2 linked regions of the Macaca fascicularis genome follow. The protein of the gene in region 1 interacts with the protein of each later gene in a biochemical or structural test. Links are inferred from orthologs where the notes say so. Each region holds a gene or a part of one and is shown on either strand. Other genes may lie near its edges.

Region 1 (5,572 bases):
CGATACATAACGCACTAGCCAAAAAGGAAAAGACTGAAAGCTGAACTACATTTAAATTCAGCACTTCGGCCAGGCACTGTGGCTCAGGCCTGTACTCCCAGCACTTTGGGAGGCTGAGACGGGCAGATCACCTGAGTTCAGGAGTTCGAGACCAGCCTGACCAACATGGAGAAACCCTGTCTCTACTAAAGAAAAATACAAAATTAGCCGGGCGTGGTAGCACATGCCTGTAATCCCAGCTACTCAGGAGGCTGAGGCAGGAGAATCGCTTGAACCCGGGAGGTGGAGGTTGCGGTCAGCCAAGATCGCGCCATTGCACTCCAGCTTGGGCAACAAGAGTGACTCTCTGTCTCAAAAGGAAATATAAATAAATAAAATAAAAAATAAAAAAATAAATTCAGCACTTCTATTCATCAAAGGACACCACTAAGAGAATGACAAGTCAAACCACAGTAGAGGTGAAAACATTTAGCACAAACATAACTGAGGGCTGATAACCAGAATATAAAGAACTTTGGCCTGGCGCGGTGGCTCAAGCCTGTAATCCCAGCACTTAGGGAGGCCAAGACGGGCGGATCACGAGGTCAGGAGATCGAGACCATCCTGGCTAACACGGTGAAACCCCGTCTCTACTAAAAAATACAAAAAACTAGCTGGGCATGGTGGCGGGCGCCTGTAGTCCCAGCTACTGGGGAGGCTGAGGCAGGAGAATGGCGCGAACCCGGGAGGCGGAGCTTGCAGTGAGCTGAGATCCGGCCACTGCACTCCAGTCTGGGCGACAAAGCGAGACTCTGTCTCAACAAAAAAAAAAAAAAAAAAGAACTTCACATCAGTAAGAAAAAGTAGAAAAATAGACAAGAGATTTGAACAAGTACATCACAGAAGATATCCAAATGGGAAAAACATATGAACAAATACCCAACCTCATTAGTAATCAGGAAAATTAAAATCACATTGAGACATTACTGTGTAACCAGCAGAATAGTAAAAAAAAAAAATTTTTTTTTTTTTTTTTTTTTGAGACGGAGTCTTGCTCTGTCGCCCAGGCTGGAGTGCAGTGGCGCCATCTCGGCTCACTGCAAGCTCCGCCTCCCGACTCATTGCATCTCGGTTCACCGCAATTCTCCTGCCTCAGCCTCCCCAGTAGCTGGGACTACGGGCGCCCGCCACCACGCCCGGCTAATTTTTTTTGTATTTTTAGTAGAGACCGGGTTTCACCATGTTAGCCAGGATGGTCTCTATCTCCTGACCTTGTGATCCGCACGTCTCAGCCTCCCAAAGTGCTGGGATTACAGGCGTGAATCACCGCGCCCGGCCAGAATAGTTAAATATAAAAGGCTGAAAATCGTGTTGTCAAGCATGTAAAACAACGAAACACTCAACACTCCTGATGTATTTTTATATAAAATTCAAAAACGAGCAACATTAGTTAATCGCATTAGAAACCAGTGTACCAGTTACCACTGTAAAAAGGGGAAAATATTAAATACTACATAAGGAAGGCTTCTGGGGACCATTCTATTAAGTGGTGATTACGTAGGTGTACATTCATTTTGTCTTGCTCTATCGCCCAGGTTGGAGTGCAGTGGCCTGATCACGGCTCACTGCAGCTTATACTTCCCAGGCTAGATCCTCCCTTCTCAGCCTCCTGAATAGCTGGGCCTACAGGTGCACGCCACCAAGCCTGGCTAATTTTTTCTATCTGTAGAGATACTGGTCTCACTATCTTGACCAGGCTGTTCTCGAACTCTTGGGCTCAATTGTCCTCCCGCCTCCACCTCCTAAAGTGCTGGGACTACAGACTTGAGACACTACACCCGGCCAGTATATTTTGTAATAATTCACGGAGTTGTATACAGTTGTGAATGTGCATTTTTCTACATGTATATTACATATCACTTTAGAAGTTTAAAAAAAAAAAAAAAAAGCCGGGCGCGGTGGCTCACGCCTGTAATCCCAGCACTTTGGGAGGCCGAGGCGGGCGGATCACAAGGTCAGGAGATCGAGACCACGGTGAAACCCCGTTTCTACTAAAAATACAAAAAAAAATTAGCCGGGCGCGGTGGCGGGAGCCTGTAGTCCCAGCTACTCAGGAGGCTGAGGCAGGAGAATGGCGTGAACCCGGGAGGCGGAGCTTGCAGTGAGCCGAGATTGCGCCACTGCACTCCAGCCTGGGCGACAGAGCAAGACTCTGTCTCAAAAAAAAAAAAAAAAACAGGGGCCAGGCGCGGTGGTTCACGCCTGTAATCCCAGCACTTTGGGAGGTGGAGGCGGGTGGATAACCTGAGGTCAGGAGTTCGACACCAGCCTGACCAGCATAGTGAAACCCTGTCTCTACTAAAAATACAAAAATCAGCCAGTCGTGGTGGCGGGAGCCTGTAATCCCAGCTCCTTGGGAGGCTGAGGTAGGAGAATCGCTTGAACCCGGGAGGCGGAGGTTGCAGTGAGCCGAGATCGCGCCACTACACTCCAGCCTGGGCTAAAGAGCGAGACTTCATCTCAAAAAAAAAAAAAAAAAAAAAGTTTTAAGAAAACCAAGCCTCACTTCAGATCATTCTCTAGGCATCATGCGAATGGTTTTCCGCATTAGATGACGAAAATACTGTTTTGGCAATTGCAGGTTGGTACTTTCTAAGCACGGTGTAACGGAAAGACAGACCAAGAATCCGGAAGCCCTGGCTGTGATATTAAACAGCTGTGGCTACACCGCTCTGATCTCAGACTCCTCGCTCAAACTCATAAAACGGGTGTTGGCTATGAAGGCTCTAATGTTTCTCCCCTAGTTCTAAAGACTGGGATCCACCTGTGTTTTCGCCCCAGCAACTGAGAGTCGGTCGGACGCGGACACGCCCTGCCACGTCCGGGTTTCACACTGTGCGCGGAGACCCCACCTGCCCCTGAGCATTGGACCGGCCAGGACCCAGGTGGGCGACGACGAGCCGCAGCTATAGAGGGCCCGGCCTGCGCCTCACACACTCACCTTGGCCCTCAGCGCTGCTCTTTCCAACGGGCCGCGCGCTCCGACTTCACCCTGCGGGGGTGACACGCGCCTGACCCGCGCGGACCCCAACGCCCCTGGCTTACGCCCTACTTCAAGTCTACTCGCTTGCCCCAGCCTTCTGCGCACAACCCAGACGAGTTTCAGCTCCCAGCTGCACGCCTCGGGAAGCGCCGCGCTCTCCTTAAGGGTCGGTCTCTGGTCGCTGGGCGCGCTCCGACGGCGGCTTTCAGAATTCGCGCCAAACCCTCTCGCCCAGGGTCACGCACGCGTCGGCGTAACGTATCTCCGCCTTCCGGATCCGCCTTCTTGCCCCTTCCGCCCACCGCGCTAGCCCAAGACTGGAACTCGAGAGCTTGATCCTGCGCGAGGTTACGGACTGCCCTCTTCCCTTTTTGCGTAAGGACTAATTCAGACTTTATGCCGGGCGCGGTGGCTCACGCGCGTAGTCCCAGCTAACTCGGGAGGCCGAGGCGAGAGGATCGTCTGAGCCTGGGAGTTCTAGGCCAACCACGGCAACGCCCCTACTCTTACCCTAGTCCCTCGCGGGTGGGGCGAGGGTTTTCGGGGGACGGTGGGGGAAGACATCAGAGTTGCTGTGGTCTGTTTACCAGATCGAAGACTACAACTCCCAAGAGGTAATGCGTCGGCCCGGGACTGTATCTCCCGGCATGCACCGCCGGCGGGCCTGCGAGTTCCTACCGTCATCCCAGCTGGACTATTACCTGGAGCCGGACTATTACCTGGAGCCTTAGCACTCTTGTGGTTTGTTTCAGCAGTATCTGAACGTCAGCTTTTGGCGCTGGTAGCTCTGAGCCTCCGACTCACATTCCTGGAACCAGGTGCTTTCCAGGCCTCATGGAGGTGGAGGAGCTGAGGAAGCTCGAGAAGATGGATAGAAGTGAGAAATGGAGCTATCGGAGGGGAGAGGGAAATGGCTGGAATATTCGTCAATCTGTGGTGCTTTACTGGAGATTTGCAGGACTTCAGAGGAAGGGGGCATTGAATTTCATAACCTAAACCGTCTCGTGGTTTACCAGAAAGTTTTGACCCGTGATTCCGGTTTTAAAGGCTGAGTAGGGCCGAGAATCGCTTGAACCCGGGAGGAAGAGGTTGCAACGAACCGAGATCTCGCCACTGTACTCCAGCGTGGGCGACAGAACGAGAGTGTCTCAAAACAACACAAGCTAGCTGAGTAGGATTTCTTGGGCGAAGTGGAAGACACTATAAGCAGATAGGGTAGTATGGGCATGGAAACAAACTACATGATTAAAGATTAGTATTATCTAGCGAGGGAGGAAAAGTGCCAGAACAAGTGCCGAAACTGGAAAGTTACATTTAGTTCAGGATATGAAGAGGCTTAAGATCATATAAGGCCTGCACAGTGGCTCACGCCTGTGATCCCAGCACTTTGGGAAGCCAAGGCAGGAGAGGATCGCTTGAGCTCAGGAGTTGGAGGCCAGCCTGGGCAACATAGTGGGACCCCATATCTCCAAAAAGAATAAGCTGGGCATGGTGGCTTGTGCCTGTGGTCTCAGCTATCCCGGAAGCTGAGGTGGGAGGATTGCTTGAGCTCAGGACGTCAAGGCTGCAGTGAGCTATGATGGGACACTGCACTCCAACCTGGGCTACAGAGTGAGATCTTGTCCCAAAAAGCAAGCAACAACAACAACAAAACATGTAAGAAGAGGCCAGGCGCGGTGGCTCAAGCCTGTAATCCCAGCACTTTGGGAAGCCAAGGTGGGTGGATCACGTGGTCAGTTCAAGACCAGCCTGGCCAAGATGGCAAAACCCCATCTCTACTAAAACTACAAAAAGTAGCTGGGCGTGGTGACGCATGCAAGTAATCCCAGCTACTTGGGAGGCTGAGGCACAGAATTGCTTGAACCTGGGAGGTGGAGGTTGCAGTGAGTCGAGATCACCCCACTGCACTCCAGCCTGGGCAACAGAGCAAGACTCCGTCTCAAAAAATACATATATAAGGAGCTTTGTTCTCTAGGTACTGAATAAATCACTGAAAGTTTTTAAGAAGACAAGTTATTTGGTTAGATCTATTTCCCCTCCACTATTACTAATTTGTTATTATTATTATTATTATTTTTTTTTAGATGGAGTCTCACTCTGTTACCCAGGCTGGAGTGCAGGGATGCGATCTCAGCTCACTGCAACCCCCACCTCCCAGATGCAAGCGAGTCTCCATGCCTCAGCCTCCCAAGTAACTGGGATTTTAGGCACTCGCCACCACACCCAGCTAATTTTTTGTATTTTTAGTAGAGACAGGGTTTCACCATGTTGGCCAGGCTGGTCTCAAACTCCTGACCTCAGGTGATCCACCTGCCTTGGCCTCCCAAAGTGCTGGAATTACAGGTGTGATCCATCATGCCTGGCTTTTTTTTTTTTTTTTTTTTTTTGAGACGGAGTCTCACTCTGTCACCCAGGCTGGAGTGCAGTGGCCGGATCTCAGCTCACTGCAAGCTCCGCCTCCCGGGTTCACGCCATTCTCCTGCCTCAGCCTCCCGAGTAGCTGGGACTACAGGCGCCTGCCACCTCGCCCGGCTAAGTTTTTGTATTTTT
Region 2 (4,485 bases), on another chromosome or scaffold:
ATAAGCCACTCTACATATATATTCTTGCCCAGTTTTCCTCCCAATAAATTATAGCATGTTATACGTATATTTCTGTACCTTTTTTCACTCAATAGCGTATCTTGAGATCTTTCCGTATTGTTACAGAGTTTCCTCATTCTTTTTTTTCCTCAGCTATATAATCTTCCAGTGTATAGATATATCATAATTTATCTATCCCCCACTATATTAGTCTGTTTTCACACTGCTGATAAAGACATGCCTGAGACTGGGCAGTTTACAAAAAAAAAGAGGTTTAATTGGACTCACAGTTCCACATAGCTGGGGAGGCCTCACAATCATGGCAGAAGGCAAGGAGGAGCAAGTCACATCTTACATGGATGGTGGCAGGCAAAAAGAGAGCTTGTGCAGGGCAACTCCCATTTTTAAAACCTTCAGATCTTATGAGACCCATTCATTATCACAAGAACAGCACAGGAAAGACCTGCCCCCATGATTCAATCATCTCCCACTGGGTCCCTCCCACAACACGTGGGAGTTATGGGAGCTACAAGATGAGATTTGGGTGGGGACACAGAGCCAAACCATATCATCCACAGATGTACAATTAGGTTATTTCCCATAGGTGTGTATTTTATTCATGTATCATTTTGAATATCTTCAAGTATACCTATAAGGTAAATTTTTAGTATTGCTGAGTCAGAGAATATGTACATTTGTAATTTTGATAGACACTGCCAAAATGCCCTTTGTTGGATGTTGTGTCAATTTACACACCCCCAGAAATACACTAGAATGTCTATTTTCCCATAGCCTTGCCAGGTTAGTGGATTATCAAATGCTTGTATTTTTGCCAATCTGATAGTAAGAAAATAATATATTGGTATAGTTTTAATATGCTATTCTCTTATTATGAATGAAGCTGAGCTTTTCCTAAGTTTAAGAACCATACTTCCTTTATGTGAACCATCTCTTTATATTGTTTGCCCATTTAAAACATTAACAACCTAATTTTTTGTTAGGTATATCTATTATTCAAATAAATATATTAAAATATGAAACTATGATGGTGGATTAGACAAAACTATTGTTATTTTTATAATTTTCTGCTTCATATATTTTATATCTTCCTTGTGAAATTTGTTTTTCATTATGGTTTCTCTATTTTATTGTTATGTAGTGATTGCCTTATCCCTAATGCCTTTTGTTTCATTTTGTCTTAACATATGAAACTAGCTTTCTTATCGTTGGGATTTGTCTGGTCTATTTTTTCCCATCTGTTTACCTTAAATCTGTCTATGTTCTTATATTTTAGGTATCTATTGTCAACAGCATAAAGCTGGATTTTATTTTTTGTCCAGTCTGATATTTTGTTTTAGTGAGAATATTTAGTTTGTTTGCATTTATAATTATTAAGGTATTTTTATTTATTTCTACTGTCTTTTCATTTTTTATTTTTAACAAGGGCCTAATACTGGCTCTTAGTTAGCCAGAGGTTTTTTTGGTCAGTACTTTGCAGGTGTTATTCTATTATCTTCTAATTTTTGAAGCAATCTTGTCGTCTCTTTTCTTAAAACCTCAATGATTATGAATACTGACAAGGATTTGATGATATTAAGGAATGACTTGAGGCTTTTCTTTTAGGTGTGATAAAATTTCAAAGAAGTGTTTATCTTTTAGAAATGTAGAATGAAATGTTTATTAGTGAAATGATACATGCTATATATATATTATATTTATTTGAAATTTCCCATAATTAAAAGGTTAAAAAAATAAAACCTCCAATAGCTTCCTGTTGCTCTTAGGATAGATACTAAGTTAGGGCAGTCTAAATGCTGTAACAAACTAAAAAAGCACAATGGTCTAACACAATAGAAATATGTTTCTCATTTGTGTAACAGGTCATTGTGGGCATTTAGTGGACAGCCTTTCATAAAGTAATTTTGTGATCCAGGGTTCTTCCACTTGGAGCTCTTCCATCCCTTTGGACCTTAGAGTCCTCTGCTGGGTTCCCCTGCATCTGCCAGCCAGCAATGAGAGAAGAGATAAAGTAGAAAATTGTTCAGTTTGAAGTATATTTATAGTTCAGATCTGGAAGTGACATAGCTGCATTCCATAGGCCAGACACAGTGGCAGTTTCTAACTGTAAGGGAGGCTGGGAAAGGTGACTAAGTGCCCTGGAGGAAAGAGAAATGGATTTGGTGAATAACGGCTGGCCTCTGCCATTCATGTTTTGCATAATCCAGCCCTTGAATACTTGCATCACCTTGCATTACTTAACTTCTCTTGCATTATTCTTTGCTTTTACTCTATAGGCTCTAATTGCATAGGCTCCTATCAATTGCTTGATTATGCCAATGCCCCTTCCTTTTCATAGCTTTTTAATGTGCTTATCGTGGAATGCTTTATCTTTCTTCTCCATCTAGTTCTTTCCTCCTCATCTTTCAGATCTTAATAGAACATTTCCTCAGGGTGCCCTTCACTTACCTTCCAGACCAAGTCAACTTCTCTTGTCATATGTAAGGTAGTTCCCTGTATCTTTCCTTCATACCCTTACCTCTGTTTGTAATTCAGCTCCACAGTCCCTTATCTTCAATTCTGAAATCTAGAAAGCTCAAAAGATTTTTTTTTCTTCATAAATTTGTGACAAAATTATTTGTGGCAAAACCTTACCTAAATTGATGTGAGTTTATCGATAGTTTTTATTTAACTCATTTTGTAAGACTGTGACTTGCTACAGAATGTTGATGAGTTTCATTATGGAATGCTGACCCAGACTGTTCGAATTATATTCTGAATTTGGAAACATATCTGGCCCCACAGGTTTTAGGCAAGGGATTTTGAACTTGTAATACATTTTTTTGGATGATTATTTATTTAATATATATCTCTCCCACTAGACTGTAAGGTCCTTTAAGTCAGAGACCATGCCTGTGTTTCTTCATCATTTTACCTTTACTGTTTAACTCAGTACATAGTAAATAATTTATAAATGTTTGTAAAAAGAATGAATGAATTTGTCTTAACTTGAACCATGGTGATCAAATGTAATAAATCACATAAACGAAGTATCATGAAACAAAAAAGTATTGTATTTAGTAGGATATTGGCTTGCCTAAGGATTTTCTCATTGTTTTACTTATTGCAGGTGATTCGTTGGAAAAATTCATTGTCTCTAGAGATTGTCAACTTGGTCCACATCACCAGAAATCTAACTCCCTGAAACCTCTTTCTATGTCCCAGCTGAAGCAATGGAAACATTTTTCTGGAGATCATTTAAAAATTACAGATCCTTTTCTTGAAAGAATAACAGAAAATGTGTCATTCATTTTTCAGAATATAACCACTCAAGCTACTGGCACATAATGAAAGATTACTTCATGACATTCCATTGCTCTTCTTTTGAAAATTAGTATGGTAATTAAATGTACTATTTGAAAATTAATAGAATTATTTAAATTACAATATGTGTTGCAAAATATATTACTTTTGATACAACAGTCAAAATTGAGTGGTTTAAGTTTTTGTAAATATTAAACATTTAAATGAAAAATTAAAGATGTGCTTTTATCATTGTATAATTGTTAATAATTCCTTGATTAATATGCTTTCATTAAGTATTTACTGAGAAATTGTTATGAGGAATATAAAAAGGTAAAAATACTTAGTCTCTGTCTTTGGGAAAACTAATCTGATTAGAAATATTAGATGTTTGAAACAACTGAAAAACTTGGTAAGTTTAAAATGTAGCTCAAAGGAGGAAGAGAATGAGAGGCTAGGATTGCAAATGCTAAAGATGTTGGATGTAATAGTTGCTGCAGGGCAGTTTGAGCAAGAAAAGTCAGTAGGTTAGTGCAGGAGATGAAGGGTTTGAGAACACTTTAGAGCACTAGTTCCTAGTTTGGGACCTCAGACTTAGGCAGTTTATAAAGCCATGTCCACCAAATATTGCTTATGCACTGCATAAACGTTCAAATACCATCATTTAAGGGTTATCTGGAGTAATTTTTGACATTGAAAAGAGTGTTTTTTAGCTGTGCACAGTGACTCCAGTTTGTAATCCTAGTTACTTAGTAGGTAGAGGCAGGAGGATTGCTTGGGACCAATAGTTTGAGACTAGCCTGAGCAACATAGTGAGGCTCTGTCTCTAAAAAATAAACTTAGCCAGGTATGGTGGCACATGCCTGTAGTTCCAGCTACTTGGGAGGCTGAGGCAGGAGGATTGCTTGAGCCTAGGAGTTTGAGTTTGCAGTAAACTATGATTGGATATGATCCAATATCCATCGGGTGACAGAGTGAGACCCCATCTTAAAAGAAAAAAAAAAGGGGTTTAATGTACAAAGCAAGCTTTAGAAGACTGAAGCTTGCAAAGAGAAAGGAGTTACTAATTTAATTTCCAAGTGGGGCTTCTGTAATTAGCTTTTGTTTCCATTTAGGAAAATTTCCTTTAGATGGAAAATACAGGTATACCCTGGAGATATTGCAGGTTTGGCTACAGACCACTGC

What was found.
Region 2: the proteins of RAD51 (region 1) and RAD54B form a complex in vitro, tested with the Homo sapiens proteins (2 studies listed by BioGRID). The link is inferred for Macaca fascicularis from reciprocal best matches to the Homo sapiens genes RAD51 and RAD54B.

Annotation. Positions count from the first base shown.
Region 1 is NC_088381.1:17,222,175-17,227,746, reverse strand, and holds the start of RAD51 (DNA repair protein RAD51 homolog 1), read right to left. Parts: upstream 3,252-5,572; 5' UTR 2,981-3,251; intron 1-2,980.
Region 2 is NC_088382.1:104,023,284-104,027,768, reverse strand, and holds the end of RAD54B (DNA repair and recombination protein RAD54B), read left to right. Parts: intron 1-3,127; coding exon 3,128-3,345; 3' UTR 3,346-3,537; downstream 3,538-4,485. UniProt on the Homo sapiens protein: Involved in DNA repair and mitotic recombination. May play an active role in recombination processes in concert with other members of the RAD52 epistasis group.